Linked DNA regions of Kluyveromyces lactis. The protein of the gene in region 4 interacts with the protein of the main gene of each other region in a pairwise test. Links are inferred from orthologs where the notes say so. Each region holds a gene or a part of one and is shown on either strand. Other genes may lie near its edges.

What was found.
Region 1: the proteins of YPT52 (region 4) and VPS8 interact in a two-hybrid assay, tested with the Saccharomyces cerevisiae proteins (2 studies listed by BioGRID). The link is inferred for Kluyveromyces lactis from reciprocal best matches to the Saccharomyces cerevisiae genes YPT52 and VPS8.
Region 2: the proteins of YPT52 (region 4) and ROY1 interact in binary tests that used the Saccharomyces cerevisiae proteins (3 or more experiments, as listed by UniProt). The link is inferred for Kluyveromyces lactis from reciprocal best matches to the Saccharomyces cerevisiae genes YPT52 and ROY1.
Region 3: the proteins of YPT52 (region 4) and GDI1 interact in binary tests that used the Saccharomyces cerevisiae proteins (3 or more experiments, as listed by UniProt). The link is inferred for Kluyveromyces lactis from reciprocal best matches to the Saccharomyces cerevisiae genes YPT52 and GDI1.

Annotation. Positions count from the first base shown.
Region 1 is NC_006039.1:1,631,348-1,636,367, reverse strand, and holds the start of VPS8 (CORVET complex membrane-binding subunit VPS8), read right to left. Parts: upstream 3,578-5,020; coding exon 1-3,577. Other genes in the region: EFB1 (translation elongation factor 1 subunit beta), read right to left, coding at 3,927-4,470, 4,761-4,840. UniProt on the Saccharomyces cerevisiae protein: Required for localization and recycling of the CPY sorting receptor (VPS10) to the late-Golgi compartment. Involved in the retention of proteins to the late-Golgi. Plays an integral role in the complex vacuolar protein sorting process.
Region 2 is NC_006038.1:761,153-765,467, forward strand, and holds ROY1 (Roy1p), read left to right. Parts: upstream 1-1,614; coding exon 1,615-3,264; downstream 3,265-4,315. Other genes in the region: tRNA methylation protein TRM732, read left to right, coding at 1-1,100; PET111 (Pet111p), read left to right, coding at 3,810-4,315. UniProt on the Saccharomyces cerevisiae protein: Non-SCF-type F-box protein involved in the endocytic with the vacuolar sorting pathway. Acts as a repressor of YPT52 by inhibiting the formation of active, GTP-bound, YPT52. Involved in the defense mechanism against methylmercury toxicity.
Region 3 is NC_006042.1:852,609-856,750, reverse strand, and holds GDI1 (Gdi1p), read right to left. Parts: upstream 2,438-4,142; coding exon 1,100-2,437; downstream 1-1,099. Other genes in the region: KLLA0_F09229g (uncharacterized protein), read left to right, coding at 1-284; Sm-like protein LSM2, read right to left, coding at 408-695; KLLA0_F09163g (putative hydroxyacid dehydrogenase), read left to right, coding at 2,948-4,142. UniProt on the Saccharomyces cerevisiae protein: Regulates the GDP/GTP exchange reaction of SEC4 by inhibiting the dissociation of GDP from it, and the subsequent binding of GTP to SEC4. Plays an essential role in the yeast secretory pathway.
Region 4 is NC_006040.1:199,653-202,944, forward strand, and holds YPT52 (Rab family GTPase YPT52), read left to right. Parts: upstream 1-1,859; coding exon 1,860-2,483; downstream 2,484-3,292. Other genes in the region: KLLA0_D02354g (uncharacterized protein), read left to right, coding at 143-1,405; SCP160 (Scp160p), read right to left, coding at 2,794-3,292. UniProt on the Saccharomyces cerevisiae protein: Required for transport in the endocytic pathway and for correct sorting of the vacuolar hydrolases suggesting a possible intersection of the endocytic with the vacuolar sorting pathway.

The DNA.
Region 1 (5,020 bases), on a different chromosome or scaffold from region 4:
AACATTTGAAAGCACCCTCGTGTTGGCCCATGTTTTCTAAACAGGAGCTGTGGAAACTGTGCCCACAACTAAATACAACGAGTGCACTGCTACCACTAGCGGCGACCTCGTGGCATCTCGCTGACTCCCACTGTTCAAAGACTTTATTATCGATTCCAATTCCCCATATTTTCTTGCCACATACTTCACACTCATGAGACTGAATTGCCCAACCATGTTCTTTTCTGTGCATATAGGTTGTAATATCTGATGATGCACTTTGATTGATAATCTGTAAAATAAGAAGTTTCACTGTCTCTTCGACAGAATAAGCTGTGAAAATATTCTTCAACACCACTTTAATATCTTTGATTTTACTCAAGATAAGAGATTTGTTTTCAAATATCTCCATTAGGGTCTTCCAGAAAAAGCTCTCCTCCGAGTTTTCGATATCATTCAGGTTCCCATCTGAAAGCTCAATAAATACTTTCTGCAAACTTTTATCACAAAACGCTTTTTGATCATCGGTAAGAGTTGGGTATTGAGAGACCAAGTTTGATATCAATTTAACCCAGTTCTTGTTAGTTTCATCTGTCTTCTGGGATACACTGATGCCTAAATCCAAATAATTATCAATTTCGTCAAAATCATTATTTTGTAATAACTCGTTGATTTTCGAGTTTATTTTATCTATTGCCGACCCATAGTTCTTTAGCCGTACTAGCAATCGTATCAAAGTTCTCGAATCCCTATTTCCGTTAATAATATCTACAATACTCTCAACTTCGATGTTTTTAAGGTCAATATTGTCAACCCATTGTGATACACCGGACGCATCTCCGGTTTCATACAACAATGATAGATACTTCGGCCTTGCTTTCTTCAAAAATGGGGCAGATAGATGATAGTTCCCAGACAGAAGTATACGAAGATATCCTAAGAGCGTCAACGGATCAGAAATAAGAAGAATTTTTTCATGTAAGCTACTATCAAAAGAGTCTATGATTGAGACAAGGGAACGCTGATCTTGACAATTTTCGATAATCTTCGGAAATGTATCTGATAGAAGGTCGCAAATTTCACTTCGACCGATAGGCGATTTCGCTGTAGCACCATCACATAGTTTCAAACCTGCAATAATATCATTGCCATTCGTATTCCTGTGTTGATCGCTAAGAATAAAGGTAAGATAATCTGTATATCTTCCGGCCTTTTTATATAGCAGAAGCCGAACACGATAAAAATCCACTCCTGACATTTTATCAATTAGGGCGTTAATATTATCTGGTGAATAAACAGACAATAGTGCTTCAAGACAATCTTCAGAAATTTGTTCAAATCCTTCCAAATCAGCAGATAATATGACGTCTATTTGTGAGTCAATGATAGTGTTGGTTAGGCGAATAAACTGAGAATACTTTGGCAAATTGTTGAACACAAAGAGGGCAATAAGAAGTTTCACATGATTTTCTTTGAAATTCTTCTGTATGTCCAAAAGAACATCAATTATATGTTGTCTAGTAAAATGAAATCCATTTTGAGGGGATTCATTGAACAGAACATCTTCAAATGAGACATCAAGAACGTGCAAGAAATTTTGCGCACTTGATGATATTAAAAGGGAAGCATATGGAAAGGCTGGTTCTTCTGCTGGTAGGGGACACGTTAAAAGCTTTTTTCCAGAGCCTTGTGGCCATTCCAAAGAAGAGCCACTAAAAAGTAAGCTGTAATAAAAGTTCTTTAGGTATAGAATCTTTTTGGAAGGCACTCTTTTTTCTGTTGGATAAACTTTTCCCAATAAAGTTGATTCGATGTACTCGAAAAGGGTATTATCTTCAATGTTAGCATCAAAAACTACACAACATTCTTCTTTGCCAGCAAAGTAAAATATTATATCCACTAGGGGACTTTTATAATCATCCAAAATGGTTGTCCAGAGATATAAAAGTGCAGAGTAGAGACGAAACTCTTTGCAAACCTTGAAAGCATAATCCAAATCCAAAGTTGTACCGTCTAGCGATAATAAAATTGTCTCTAACCTTCTATCATTTCCTGAAGACACTGTGTATTCCATCACAGCCTTGAAAAGTATTGGTGAGAGGTATGTTACTGTCCCGTTAACGATTTTTTCGTAAAGTATTTCTTGAAATTCTTCGTTATGTTTGGTCATCAAAGCTTCCCCTACCTGTTCTAAAAGCACATACATCTTTTCATCTGAGAAAATACTTCCCAAGTCCAAAATCAATGATGTAGCTTCAGTGACCTTACTGTAACTTATATCATCTTTCTTCAGTAAAAATTGAACAGTTGCTAGTGTCAAGTTGTTAAACGATGGTTCAATTTGTCTGATTCTTTTCTGATAGTCTTTTTCCAGATGTAATAAGGCGGTTATCGAATCGAATGATGGACCTTGTAAATAGTAACCTAGGGTTCCTAATGCATTAATGTAATCTCCTTTATGTATATGGTGTAAGACAATATCGGACCATGAGTTAATTTTCCCCACCATTAAACTGTAATTGGTGAGCACAACAATCGTGTTATTTAACGTAGCGAAATGGTTCTCAGATTCTGGAACCATCAGTTCATGAATAAGTAAGTCAATACTAGTGAGTACAGGATCCTCATCGGTATCAACACTACCTATGTTTAAAACGAGAAGCTTACTTGACAAGAGCAAAATAGTCAAAATGTTATTTGTGAGCCAGGCAACTTTACAAATGCATTCAGGAGCTTCGTACGTCCATTGTAAAGTCGGAAACCTGATATCGACAAGGCTCAACTGGTTATCTACAGAGAAGGCAACCTGATTTGGATTGACGTCATTCCAGGAGATATATCCAAAAGTGGCCGAGTTTTTGTGTGACAATTCAATGAGCCGATAAGTTGATAAAGTTGGCGATGACAATGATATGACTGCGAAGGATCGATTAGATAAAACTGCTAACAGATGTTCAGCATCATAATCTTCACCGTTGCTTCGAATGCGCGTAGTCAATAAAGGGTTTATCATTGGATTCAGCCTCAAGATTTCTTTTGCACTAGGTACCAATTGCCAAAGATGATTTCTAGTACCCTTGTGAAGTACAATATGTCCTGTAGAATCACTGACTGCAATATTGGTATGTTTCCCCGGGATAAAATTAAGACCATTAAAGGAATGTCCTCTATGAGAAGCAATATGCAGCACGGCTTCTAGATGATTAGAATCGGAATTTTCATCGACTTGAGAGTTTAAGTCCCACAGGAATATATCACCGGATTCATAGGCTGCGCAAACATGGGTACCATCCTGATTTATATCGATAAATGTTACCTTGGATCTAAAATCTGGTAAAGATGGTGCTAGTACAGATTGAACGAATTGTTTCTTGTTAAAGATAACAACGGCTCCCTTTGCCGTACCTATGATATAGTAGAGCTGAACCGGAAGAATGAAAGTAGGTCCCCCATAATATGATAAATTCGGATACACTTGTTGCAATGAAGTCCAGCTTACATGCAGGGATTCATCCTGAGAGCTCTTAAAGGGATTAAACTTTTCGAAATCGGTTGTGTTGTTTCTCTTATCGTGGCCAGTACTATGAGAGCCATTCATTTGAAACTTGAATCTTGCTGGCAATTGACAAACAGGTAATCGAAAACTGTTTTAACCGAACTTAGACCGTAGGGCTTCTGTTGCCTTTCCTGTTTTTTTTTCTCATATTTTACCTTAAATGCAGCATGATGTTTAATTAATTATCTATATGCATTTATATTATGCACATTTCTATTCTTAAGATGCTCAGAGGCTGTAAACCTAAAAGAAAGATGAACATAACAGGATAAAAGAGACAGCAAGGGTTCGGGTCCAGCAAGAAAGCACGAAGGGGGTCGTTGAGAAATATAGTATATTTATTTATTCATTTATGTAAGGGGAAAAAGGTGAAGAACTTAAATTAGTTTAATTACAACTTTTGCATAGCAGCAACATCAGTAGATTGGACGTGGTCTTCATCTTCTTCGATAAGTTGTTGCAATTCATCAAGAGAAACCTTAGCATCTTCGATGACCATGTTAATTTGCAACTTCTTGATACCGAAACCAATTGGAATCCATTGGTGAGCACCCCAGTTCAAACCATCCATTTCGATGTTCTTAACGTTGGCAACCAATTCTTCCAAATCGGTTTCGTCATCCCATGGCTTAACATCCAAGGTAACGATAGACTTAGCAGCAGCCTTTGGCTTAGCAGCCTTCTTTTCGTTGTATTCAGCGATTCTCTTAGCCTTCAATTGTTCAGCTTCTTCATCGACATCATCGTCAGAACCGAACAAATCGACTTCGTCATCGTCATCTTCTTCTTCAGCAGCAGCTGGTGTAGAAGTAGCAGCTGGCAAGGATTCGAATTGATCAGCCTTGGAAGCAATGTGGTTGAACCATCTAGAGAATTCTGGGTAAGTAGATTGGAAAGCCTTGAAAGCAGAGACGTCAGCTTGAGTAGCAGAGGTACTATATTGATGCAATTGTTAGTTAGTAAAATGGAAAGAACAAAAAAATGAAATTTTTTTGTATGGCAGCTAAGCTTGCTTGCTGAAAAGAGAATTCAATAAAAAAGATAAATCAGAATCGTACTGTCTAGGTACTGTCTCTTTGTCACTCATACCGGGGGTCTTACTTCCCGTCATAAACACGGACCAAAGAATTTGTTCATCATTGAAATAGTAAACTTTGAAGAATTCTCTTATTCAAAAAACTGCTTGATGCCATTGGAAAACCACCACTATAATTATTTCACATACCCTTCAATGTAAGACTTGTCAGCCAAGAAAGTGTTCAACTTTTGCAAGGTTTCGACCTTGGAGAAATCAGAGAAAGACATCGTTAATGGATAGTTAAACCTGGTGAGAGAAGAAACTAGGAAAGAATCAATTCCTCTTCTTCTTCTTACAAGGAACGTTGAATCAAATTGACGAAAAAAAAATACTGAAAAGCTGATGAAAAACTCTAATTCGAAAAGTTCCAATATATATATATATATATTTATGAGATATATGATATG
Region 2 (4,315 bases), on a different chromosome or scaffold from region 4:
GCAATGTTTTCATAAATGAAAATTCGTCTTACGTCATCGATGGTAGCAAGCAGTTGTTCTTGGCGGTTGTGACAAGAATACTCCTAAATTTTGAGAACCAAGAGTATATTACGGACATTGCGGAATTAGCCTTACGTTCTGAATATTTTGAAGTACAACTTTCTGCATTACATTGTTTGAAACAGTCAAAAATATTAACTGTCGAATACGCAGCTCTAGGTTCCATTTTAATAGATATTTTAAAGGATCCGAATCAATGGTGTGCAGTGAAAGCTGATACTCTAACAGTATTGCGTATGGCTAACATCAAGGTGAAAACGTTCAAGTACTTAGATTTAGCTTCCGATAAAAGTGAGATGTTACAAAGTAGTTTGTTAGAGAACATCAGCGTTTTCGAAAACGTACCGGAATCCGTTTTCTGGGAATTGATCGATAGCAACATTTCAGATGAGAGTCCCGACCATTTGAGGCTCTCTGCAACCCAATGTTTGATGCATTCTTACCGTTCGGCACCAGATGACAAAATCCTCTTCAGGATCTATCAACAGCTCTTTGACGATTCCTCAGATGTCAGATTAATGACGGCTAGGTTTATCAATGAACATGTTTTGCAAGTGGTAGAAAAAAATTTAAACTCTTCTCCTTACTCTACAAGTTTGAGGTGTGCAGAGATGCTCCCACAAATATTTCGTTCAGATGACATCAGCCTCACCTTGATACAGCTCTTGGAGCAATTATACGAAGGTTTTATGATCAGCAATGTGAACTCCAGTGCAGAGAACGAGCTATTTGATGTAGAGAAGGACAACCAATATCGAAATGAGTTGCAGCTCGGAACTCAAACGATTGCCATGTTAAAGGGATTAGGCCATCTACCAATTTCCATCCAACTGAAAAAGGTAAAGCAGAACCTATCTGATGTTGTTTCTGGCCTTAAAGCAGAAGACCGAGATGGTTTCTTCAAATGGGGATCAAACCCTGAAATATTCAATAAGCTTTCTCTCCAGAGAAAACTACTGCAATCATTCGGTGAAGATCTTTCAGAGATAGACGCCAAACTAGAATTGCTTAACTGTCATCCCTTAATTTTTGAAATATAGATCACCTCAACGATTATCAAATCTTATATCCAATATAAGATATTAGCATATGCTAGATAAGAATATATATTACCATCCTGCATTTTAATCCATTACATGACGTCCGGAGATACGTAGATCCATGTATAAGGAATAGCCTCATATGTGATGGCTCTATCAGGTTATAGTGCACATCTAATTGTCATATTAACAACAACATGACTCCGTGGCCAAGCTGGTTAAGGCGTGCGACTGTTAATCGCAAGATCGAGAGTTCAATCCTCTCCGGGGTCGTTTATTTTTTATGTCCGTACACTATTATTCCCAGTGTATTTCGTTGGGAAAGTTTACAAAAAAAAGGTTGGAAAGGAAGGTGCTTAAAATAAGGTGATGAGCTATAAGAAACACACATAAAATTGAATTATATTGTCGCTACCGGCTTGTTGTTTGAATTGAGAGAAATCTATTGTGTGAAACCGATCCTTATTACTGTATTCTGTTCCTCTGAACTTAGGATTGAGGATTCTTCTAGATAATGACTCAAGGTATTTCGTTGGAAGACGTTTTTGATGATGTGGCTAACTTTTTGAACCAGAACGATCTAGCGTCACTCTGTCTGGTAAGTCGCCGCTTCAATGAGTTGGCGACTCCTCGACTATACGCTGATATCACAATTAATAAGAATCCAGTATTGCGCTCGAAAGACTGGTGGATTGAGTGTGGGAAAACGTATGTCGCTGGGTATCGATCTATAACCAAGAGTAACGACCAAAATGATTTATTCTTATACGATAGGATATGCAGACTTTTAGAAAGCAAACATTTGTATCTGATACGGACTCTGGTAGTTCAGGAAGATGTATTCAATGATACAGAGGCCGGTATGCCGTTATTACAACGATTAATTGATAGTGTGAGATCGTTAAATCAAGTAACAAATTTGGATATTAGAGACTCCGTTCTCTTCCAAGCTAACAAAGAGAAGTTGAAAGGTATAAGACCATCTAAGGTGATGAGAATCCAAGAAATTGGTTCTTTGAACGATATATCAGATCTTGAGCAGCTCAAATCGCTAGAGATTTTTGTGACATTACCATCGTTTGATAATGTCATATTGTCTGATGCAGTGAAATTCAAACTCTTGGCAAACTTGGAGGAATTGGTGATAGAAGACATAGAGTTTTCTTCTCTTAGAGTGTTTTACTATTTCAAGGAACAAGGAGTGGTATTCACAAAATTAAAGAGTGTGAAGTTCAACCATGTCCATGGCATACACGATTATAACAAGACGTATCGTGAATTGACTGCTGATTTCTTGAAAGAAGTGATCCCGTTGAAACAGTTACAGTCATTAGAAATGGAGTTAGCATGTGAGATGTCGGAATGTACTTGCATCGATGATTTTTTGTCCGAAATCTCTAGCGAATTAGTATCTTTGAGGAACCTTGCCTTGATCGAGAAAACTTTCGTTACTCAAGGTGACCATTACACTGAGGAAAATTGGGATCTTTCCATAAACAGATTCATATTACATTTACCTAATGTAAGCCAGAATCTACAGACTTTAAGTGTCAGACACAATTGCCCAATTAATGGAATACAGAAGGATAGTGTTGAGGGGAACTATATCAGAAGAAGAACTTTGTATGAAGAGGTGCTTCCTCATTTGAAATCGTTGAAGAAATTATTTGCTCCCACTATCTTGCAATCGTTGAGTTCCTATGAGATTCTTGTATGTGATCTCTTATGGAATGGTTGCGAATGTGAGAAATGCACTAAAGTGCTAGATATTTTCGACCAATTCATTCAGAACCATCAATACTACTCTTACGAGGAAGGCCAATACAAGGACATAATACCGACTGTTTTCTTTGCATACGCTGGTGATTCACTTTGTCGTAGGTTCCTGACCGAAACAGATTGGGATTTAAAAGCATTGCAGTATTCTCCGACGCAACAAATGTGGGATTTTCACGGATACGAAAACGTCTATCATTTCCAGGACTATAACTGCCATTTTGACGAATCTGCATATACCCATCTAACGCAGGTGATTTCCCATTTCTTCGATGACTACATGAAAACTTTGGTGAAACTCCTCCCAAACTTAACCGTCTGTCTTCTATCAGGTATTTATTACCAAGTATCAGATGATCGCCAGTTCTCGTCTCAATACGATAGGTAATTCACCTTACCAATCCAATGTATATTGTGTTATGTATCTTATACAAATCATGATATCTCCGATTTCACTAGATAATGAAAATCGATTTTACTCAGTTCAAAAGTAAGTTATAAGAATTCAATGAAGCACTGACGTGGTGAACATTCGCCGCAATTGTGCAGTGGCAGCCCCTGATAGTATGATCACAAACCTTTATATTTGTGTCTGATCTGCTTATGTTATAGCTTTACCGTTCAATATGATAGCTTCAAGTATCAAAAAATTTGAAGGACATGGTGTGAGAGAAGAGATGAGCGGTCATAGTACAACTTGTTTAAGGATATCCATTACAATTGGTGAGTGAACCAAGCCTTAGTTAAGCCCAATTCAGGACCGAACTATATCTGATCCTTTCTGCTACCCGTTTTTTTTTCCCGCTCTTTAGCTGGTGGGTTACTACAATAAATTGTTTGAAGATAGTTTCTTAAACAAATCCATCAAGCTTATTGACATTGTTGTCGCATAGCTGAATCAAGGGCAGGGAAGAGTAGGTGCAGGTGGGAATTATGTCGCTATTGAAAGTTTCAGCGATGAATGCCAGGCTTCCCAGCAACGTGACTGTAATACGACGTGGGCTGAACGTTTGCCTAAGACACATTGGAAGAGCTAGATATTATTCGACAACGATACGAGAGATCAATGGAAACGATGAATCTAATAATAATAAGGAGCTACGGAATAGAGAGGTTGCTGGATGGATTCAGCAATCTTTGTTAGAGCATCCTCCTGTACAAAGAACAACAATAACAACAAGAAAAACACATACAGCGAACTCATCACTAGAAAAGAGGGAACAGTCAACCAAGACAATCAGCACAGAAGAATGGGAAAGGCTGTGGGAAGTGCGATTTCGAATCGGTGAGTTGAAGTGTGTTACAGAAGTGATTCGAATGAAAAAAGACGAATATGCATTTTTCACACCATCACAGTTGCTCGTTTTATTGACTACCTTGACTAAATTACGAAGATATTACGATATTGATAGAGTATACCAAGCCTACCAAAAGGAATG
Region 3 (4,142 bases), on a different chromosome or scaffold from region 4:
AAGAGGAATACGAGAACAAACTGAAGAACGTTGATGAGCTCATCTCGATGATTACATCCGTTGAACTGGATAAAGAGAAGTTCTCAAAAATGATTTCGAAACAAATTGAGATTATTCAGAAAGACGGTCAAGAATATGCTCTAATTCCAGTACAAAGAACTCCTAAACAAGCCAAATTTGGAAAACGAAAGTCTAAAGCTAACAACATTAAATGTTCTTATTGCAATGAAACTGGACACCTCCGATCAAAATGTGAGAAGAAACTCTTGGGAGTTCCACCATGATAGGTAATGTGTTCTATTATTACATATGTGAATAGTGTGAGAGTGGTAGACTCGAATGATATTTAACAGTTATAAATTATTCCTTTCTGCAGCAGGAACCCTGTTTTTCGCTGCTTCTTTCGTTTACTTTCTTTCACTCATTAATTCTCTTCTGGTTGCATCTTGAAGTAGGTTGGTATCCACCATAGATTTCTTCAAATGTACATACCTCACAGTAGAACCTCTGATGAACATGTTCCTCACGCTTGATAGATGTGGATATTTTTCATTATTGTTGGACGAAATGTTGTCTAATTTTAAGTTCAAAAATTGGTCGACTGATTTTAGAGTACCTGTTAGTTCAATACCGTTCTTTAGTTCGACTTTGACTTCATGATCAACCAGGGTCTTGAAAAATGAAAATAATAGCATGGTTCTGGACAGTACGGCCTTGGTTCAGAGGTCCATGCATTTGACTTTTGAATGTGTTGTAGTTGTATTGTCAAATTTCAACATGAAATTGTTTTAAACAATTTCATGTTGAAGGAAAAAAAAAAGATACATGTACAAAATTGACATACACAACTTCATATGTAGAAGTAGAGAAGCTGCTGGACTTAAGAGGACTAGCTGGGATATTTTTACGTCGATTGCTGAAATAAAACTATTGCCAAAACATTCAAGCTAATATGTGGGGCTAGATAGTAAATAGACAAAAATAAAATGATAATGATAAAGATTGTAACGAAACAAGAAAGTAACGTAAAAGTACGTAGAAGTACGTGAAGGTACGATATTTTCAAAAGTTAGCATCACGGTTATCTCGTAGTTCTCACTTACTCCTCTGCAACATCTTCTCTCTTCTTTAAAACAAGGGGGTGACCAGTAATCCTAAAGTAGATATCCTTGACATCGTCGGTCATGGATTCGAAGTGAGATGAGGAATCGTAAGATTTAGAGATGTAAATGTTGTCTTTAGTGCCATCTTCGATCGGTTCAAAGATTTCTGAAATACCCATGAACCTCTCCTCAATTGGGCCCAACATTTTGAAAGCCGGCTCTAATTCGATATGAGGTTTATCAGTTTCAATGATGGTTGATACACTGGCGAGGTAATGACCCTTCGAAGTAACTTTATGGGCGTCAGAGACAGTAGCAATATAAATGTCGTTCTTTCTTCCAACTTGTGATTGTGGTATAATTATTTGGCAAGAATCAGCATTACTAGTGTTAGGAACAGGTTGTTTAGTGATGCAAATTGCTCTGATCACCTTTTCACCTGTAGTTTTACATTTCTCAGGGAAGTATGTTGGATCTGCGATGACTATTGGTGCTTTTGCAGTACCTTCTTTGGTGACAATACCTTCGAATTTACCATCGTCTGAGTATAAAACCTTTTCAATTGGGGTATTTAGCATGTATGTCCCACCGTAAATAGCTGATAATCTAGCAAATCCTTGAGGCAATTCGCCCAACCCATACATAGGGTAAATATATGGAGATTTACCAAACCTGGAAATCGATTGCACATATAGGATAATTCTTTCCACTGATGGTCTAGCAGGTTGTTGCAGATAATCGTCATTGGTCCAAAGGGCCATTGCGTGTCCAATAAATTCTCTGGTTGAATTTCCTAAGCCAAATTTGTAGTATACCTCATCCATAGTGTTTTGATCCAAGTTTAAGCCCTGATGTGTGGCGATATCTTCTTCATTGTATGCACTGATCCATTCCAAGAACTTCTTCATCCTTCTTTTCTCGAAGATACCCAATAAAGAAGATGAAATAGCCTCCATTTCGTTAGCAGGAACTTTATATACTTTACCTCTGTTGTAAACGTACGAGCCAGCAACTTGCTTGAACTCGATATATCTGGTGACGTCAGTATGAACCAAAATGTTAGTCAATTCACCATTCGCCATCAAGAACTTAGGAATCAAATCCACGTTCCAATCTCTATCCTTGCCAAACTTTGACTCAATGTCTTCCTTACTCAAAGGATGTTGTTTGAATTTAGAGTATAGTTGCGTTAATGTGACACTGGATGATTCACCACCATAATGGTCCTGTCTGTCAACATGTAAGACTTTTTTCCCCTCGATTGAGAGTAAGCCAGATAATATACACTCGGTAAGACCTGTCCCAAGGACGATAACATCATAATTTTCGTCCATTATTACAAGCTTTTGTCAATTCGACGTTCTATGAACTAGGTCCAACGTTTCCTATCTAGTTGAAGGTAGCCCTACGTTTGAAGTCGTTATTGTTTTCTTGCTAAATACTATGATCCTCCCTATTATTGTTATTTTTATTGTAACAATCGCACTTTCTTTATTTTCAACACTAATTCAAGGTTAAAAGACAAACGTTCTAGACGCATATAACTGCATTCAGTTCAGGCATTGATCTCGAGCGTTAACAAACTAGTTGGACAATTTCAGATGCTCATAAATTGCTGAAGATCCAGGAATGTTCAGCACCTCGAAAGGTAGTATGTCAGTTCAACCAATATCGTAAAATAGTGACTGAAGTTTTCTTCACGTGACCCAGATCTGTGAACGGAGGTTTCAATATTAATTATAACAAAGACGATCCTGGGTTGGCAGAGAAAAACTCGGATCCCTTCACTGCAAAGTTTATACACAAAACCATATTCCCTCATTTGTCCCAAACTTCGTTTCACGATGGACAGGCCATGGATACTATTCATAGCTGAACCTGAATACAGTTTACAGGAATATAAGCTTTTGCAAAAAGAGTTCAACACGGTTAATTACACACTTGAACGAGATGTTGATGGCACTGGTAAGGAAGCATTTCTAACTTTCTTGGACCAGCATTCGAAGCAAAAGGGTCCAATTGTCGGAATATTTGGAGGGTATCCACAATTCGCTCCCTTAGGTGGTTTGAGTGCAGAAATCTTGGATGATCATCGTTGGCCTGGGTCGATCAAGTGCATATGTCTGTGTTCTGTAGGTTACAATTGGCTCGACCTGAAGTCACTACGGGAAAAGGGCATTCAACTGTACAATTATGACGACATGATACAGGACTCTGGAATTGTAGCCAACGACGTTGCAGATTGCGTCCTCTGGCACGTTCTAGATGGGTTTCGGAAATTCTCAAGTCAGGCACATGCATTGAGATCAGCAAGAAACACTATCAAGGCTCGTTCAGAAATCGTACTGGAACACGGTGAAAACAATTCACCAAGGTTCGAATTTGGGCACAGATGGAAACGAGGAACCTTTAATGAAAGTTGTCGGAACAAGAGATGTCTCATTATGGGACTTGGACGTATTGGAATCCAGTGTGGTAGGAAATTGGATTCCGGATTAGGAATGGAAATACATTACACGCAGAGAAATCCGGTTACAAAAGAACAAATAAGCTCGGACACTTATATCCAGAAGTGGCAATTCCATCCAATCTCTGAGCTACTTGAGTCTGATTTTCAGGATGCGCATGGAAGCAGTCCATGCCTTGAAACGTTTGATTGCATTGTAATATGTCTACCAGGAAATGCATCAACACATCACATGATCAACAAAACTTTTCTGTCAAGATGCAAGTTCGGCGTTGTTATCTGTAACGTCGGAAGAGGCTCAATAATCGACGATGATGCATTACAGCATATTATGGCACAAGAACCCGGCAGAGTTAGACATGTAGCAATGGACGTGTTTCACGATGAGCCAATTGTAGAACAATGGTTATCTGAGGATTGCCATTATAACACCATCACCCCCCATATAGCTAGCAGCACAAGAGCTGTCTGGGAAGCGAGCAATAGACTGGCGCTACAAGTTTTGAGTCACGTGTGTGCTTCTTCCTCTTCCGAACCTTCCAAGAATTCAGTACCCGGAAGATTCGGTTCCA
Region 4 (3,292 bases):
GCAATTGATATTATGTGGACGCATGTATTTAAGTATATATATAAGGTTGGGTTTTAAGGTTGATAGTTAATTCAGGTTGGGTTTGGTGGCGACTGTTAGTGGTAGTATTCTTGAAATTAACTCGACTAACGTGCTTCAAACGATGAACTCATATGTGAATACATGTTCTGGTTTGGAACTTACAGCAGACCAATGCCAACGGTTGCTTCAGTTGTCTAGGGTAGATAGTTCGGTCTATCACTCTAGTTTCCAAAAGATTCTGCACTGGTTCTACCATGTGCAGCCGGATTCTTCTCAAAGTGAAACGTTAGCCATTATTGTGGCTAATATTTTGCTACATTCGTGTTCTATACGAACTGATGCAAATCTTAACGCAACTCTTATAAAATGTGTCGAGACCAGCCTCTTTGAAAATCCTTTCGATTTACCCAGATGGAGAATAATGTTCTTATTGGCACATTGTAAACCAACTTTGGCTCATGATGGCCAGGGTTCAGATCTAGATGACTCGGACCAGAAACATCATCAAATTTTTAACAGAATGTTGGCTCCACAGAGTTTCCAAACGATGGTCACTTCCTTGACTATGGATCCAAAACGCATTTCAATTCTTACAGAATTGGGTAAATACTGGTACGCTTTGTGTTTCAACTACGGGTATCTCTCTGCCAATTCTCGAGTATATTGGTCTCTCTTCACCGAACTTAGTGGAAAACCATACAACTCCGTGGCTGGATTTCAAGATTGTTTGATCCAATTTGGATCCCTTTACCTATTGCTACATACTCATAACCTGTCCGTCGAAAGAACCACTGTCAATAGATTCTTATGCATTTTCGAGGACAAGTTCAACGACTGGTTGCTACAAGCTTCAGAGGAATTGTATTGCCCCCTACAAGAACATAGATTACCTCAGATCCTCAACATCTTGGAGCTTTTGATAGGGTACTCTTCTCCTCAACTAAGGCAAGATATCAGAACCTGTTTTGTCTCGCCACATAACTCATTCCATTGCCCCTTCGTCAACTCCTCTTTCATTAAGTTGATCGAATCACCAATCAATAATATCTCGAACACTACTACTTCGATATTAAATCTTTTACATCTTAGACACAACAGGGAAACTCACAGATTGGAGCCTTTGCCTCCAGTTTCTCGTGAATCTTCAGTGTGTTCTTCCATATCGCATGATTACATCACCTACTCCGGACTACCCACGCCATCGGCAAACACCACCACTGCAGCATCAACTGTTAATTCCAACTCTTCAATGACTTCTATCGCTGAGCAGGATTCCGAGGCTGATAATTGGCCCGAGGAAGAACAACTCTTGGAAGCAGAGAAGATCGGGGCCGCTATCCAAAGGCTTAACGAGCTGGGCTTTGTTAAGATGTCTACTGAATGAGATAATAAGCATGCGCACGATACTTCTTTCACTTCATTTCACTTCACTTCACTTCACTTCACTTCACTTCACTTCATTTCACTTCTATTCGATTAATGTTAGCTACTATTTATTCTATTCTATTTAATCAATACACACCCCAACTATATTTATCAACCAAATCAGCCTCTTGTCATTGTTTTAAACGTCACGAACTCCCCTCAAATTACCAATCACGTGATCGACAATTCGTATTATCCAACTTAAAGGCTTTCAGTCATTGAAACCTTTAAATTCAGAATCAACAGGTTTCATCCCTTCCAGATAAAAAGATAAAAAAGTAGAGAAACTGGAACGAGTAACCGCGGGTAGAAGTCGTATTGGACATTTTGTTTCGAGCATTCACCAATATCAACCCCAGGTTTCCTATACTGCTGATTCTTTCTAAAATATCGCAATTTACTTCCCATAAATTATGCTTCAGTTCAAATTAGTATTGTTGGGAGATTCTTCTGTTGGAAAATCCAGTATTGTTCATAGATTCGTCAAAGACTCGTTTGATGAGTACAGGGAATCGACTATAGGTGCAGCTTTTCTTTCACAAACTATTAAATTATCTGAAGAGTATGATGAACAAGTTTTGAAGTTTGAAATTTGGGATACGGCCGGTCAGGAACGCTATAAATCTTTGGCACCTATGTACTATCGTAATGCAAATGCCGCTTTAGTTGTGTACGATGTCACTGAACCAGATTCTTTGCCTAAGGCCAAGCTTTGGGTTGATGAATTGAAAGAAAAGGTAAATGACGATAAGTTGATCATCTGTCTTGTGGGGAATAAGTTGGATCTAGTATCTGAAAGGGAATCGACCTCTTTAGTCGATGAAGCGGACGCACGCGAGTTTGCACAAGAGAATAATTTGTTGTTCCACCAGGTCAGTGCTAAGACTGGAGAAAACGTAATCAAAGTCTTCCAAGATATTGGTGAAAGATTATATTTGCAGAACAAAGATAAGATACAGGAATCGAAGAAACCTAATAATAATAATATATCATTGCAAAGACCAAGTACAAATGATTCACAGTCTTGTTGCTCATGAAGACGGCTTTATTCGTATGCCTGCATATAGATCTTCAGGCCACAATAAATATATATATACGTTTACGTATAACCATGAAACACACGCTAGCCCGTATAAATCTTTAACATTGAGGAACAACCGAGGATTTTGAAGAAATAGTTTTGTTTACATTTTTTGATATAGGTTTTAAGTGTATTCAGTATACATGATTAATTATGTGGTATTAATGTAAGCTTATGTAGTGCTAATCTGTGCAGCGTTGAACACCAATAGAGGAAATAAATACAAGAATTGGATCAAAGGAACGGACAAAGTGAAAACATTAAAACTATTTTAATCTCTTGCAGATCAATTCAGCTGCCTTTTTCACACCTTCTTCAGAGCCTAGGACATATATAACATTGTTAACCTTATCGCTTTTTCTTGGAACATGGATAACAGTTTTAGTGGCATTTCTGATTTCTCTGATATTTCTACCGTTTGGTCCAACAATAGAGTTAAACTTCTTTGCATCCTTGGACCAAACGAAACCTTCGGTGTTAACAAGTTTAGCCTCGGCGATTCTGTCTTCTATCAATTTGGACGCTTTTTCTAAGACTTGATCTTTGCTTTCTTCATCTTTCTTATAGTCTTCACCTAAAACATCACTCAAGTCAATTGGTGAGTATGTTAATCTCCATGGGATTGTGTCAACCTTAGCTTCAGTTTCTGTGACAGATTGAATGAGGACGTTGGAGCTTTCATTTTCACCACCAGCGACATTTTCAGGAACCTTGTAGTTCGCACGAGATAAACTTTGTGCGGTTCTAGTCAAGTTACCATGAGAA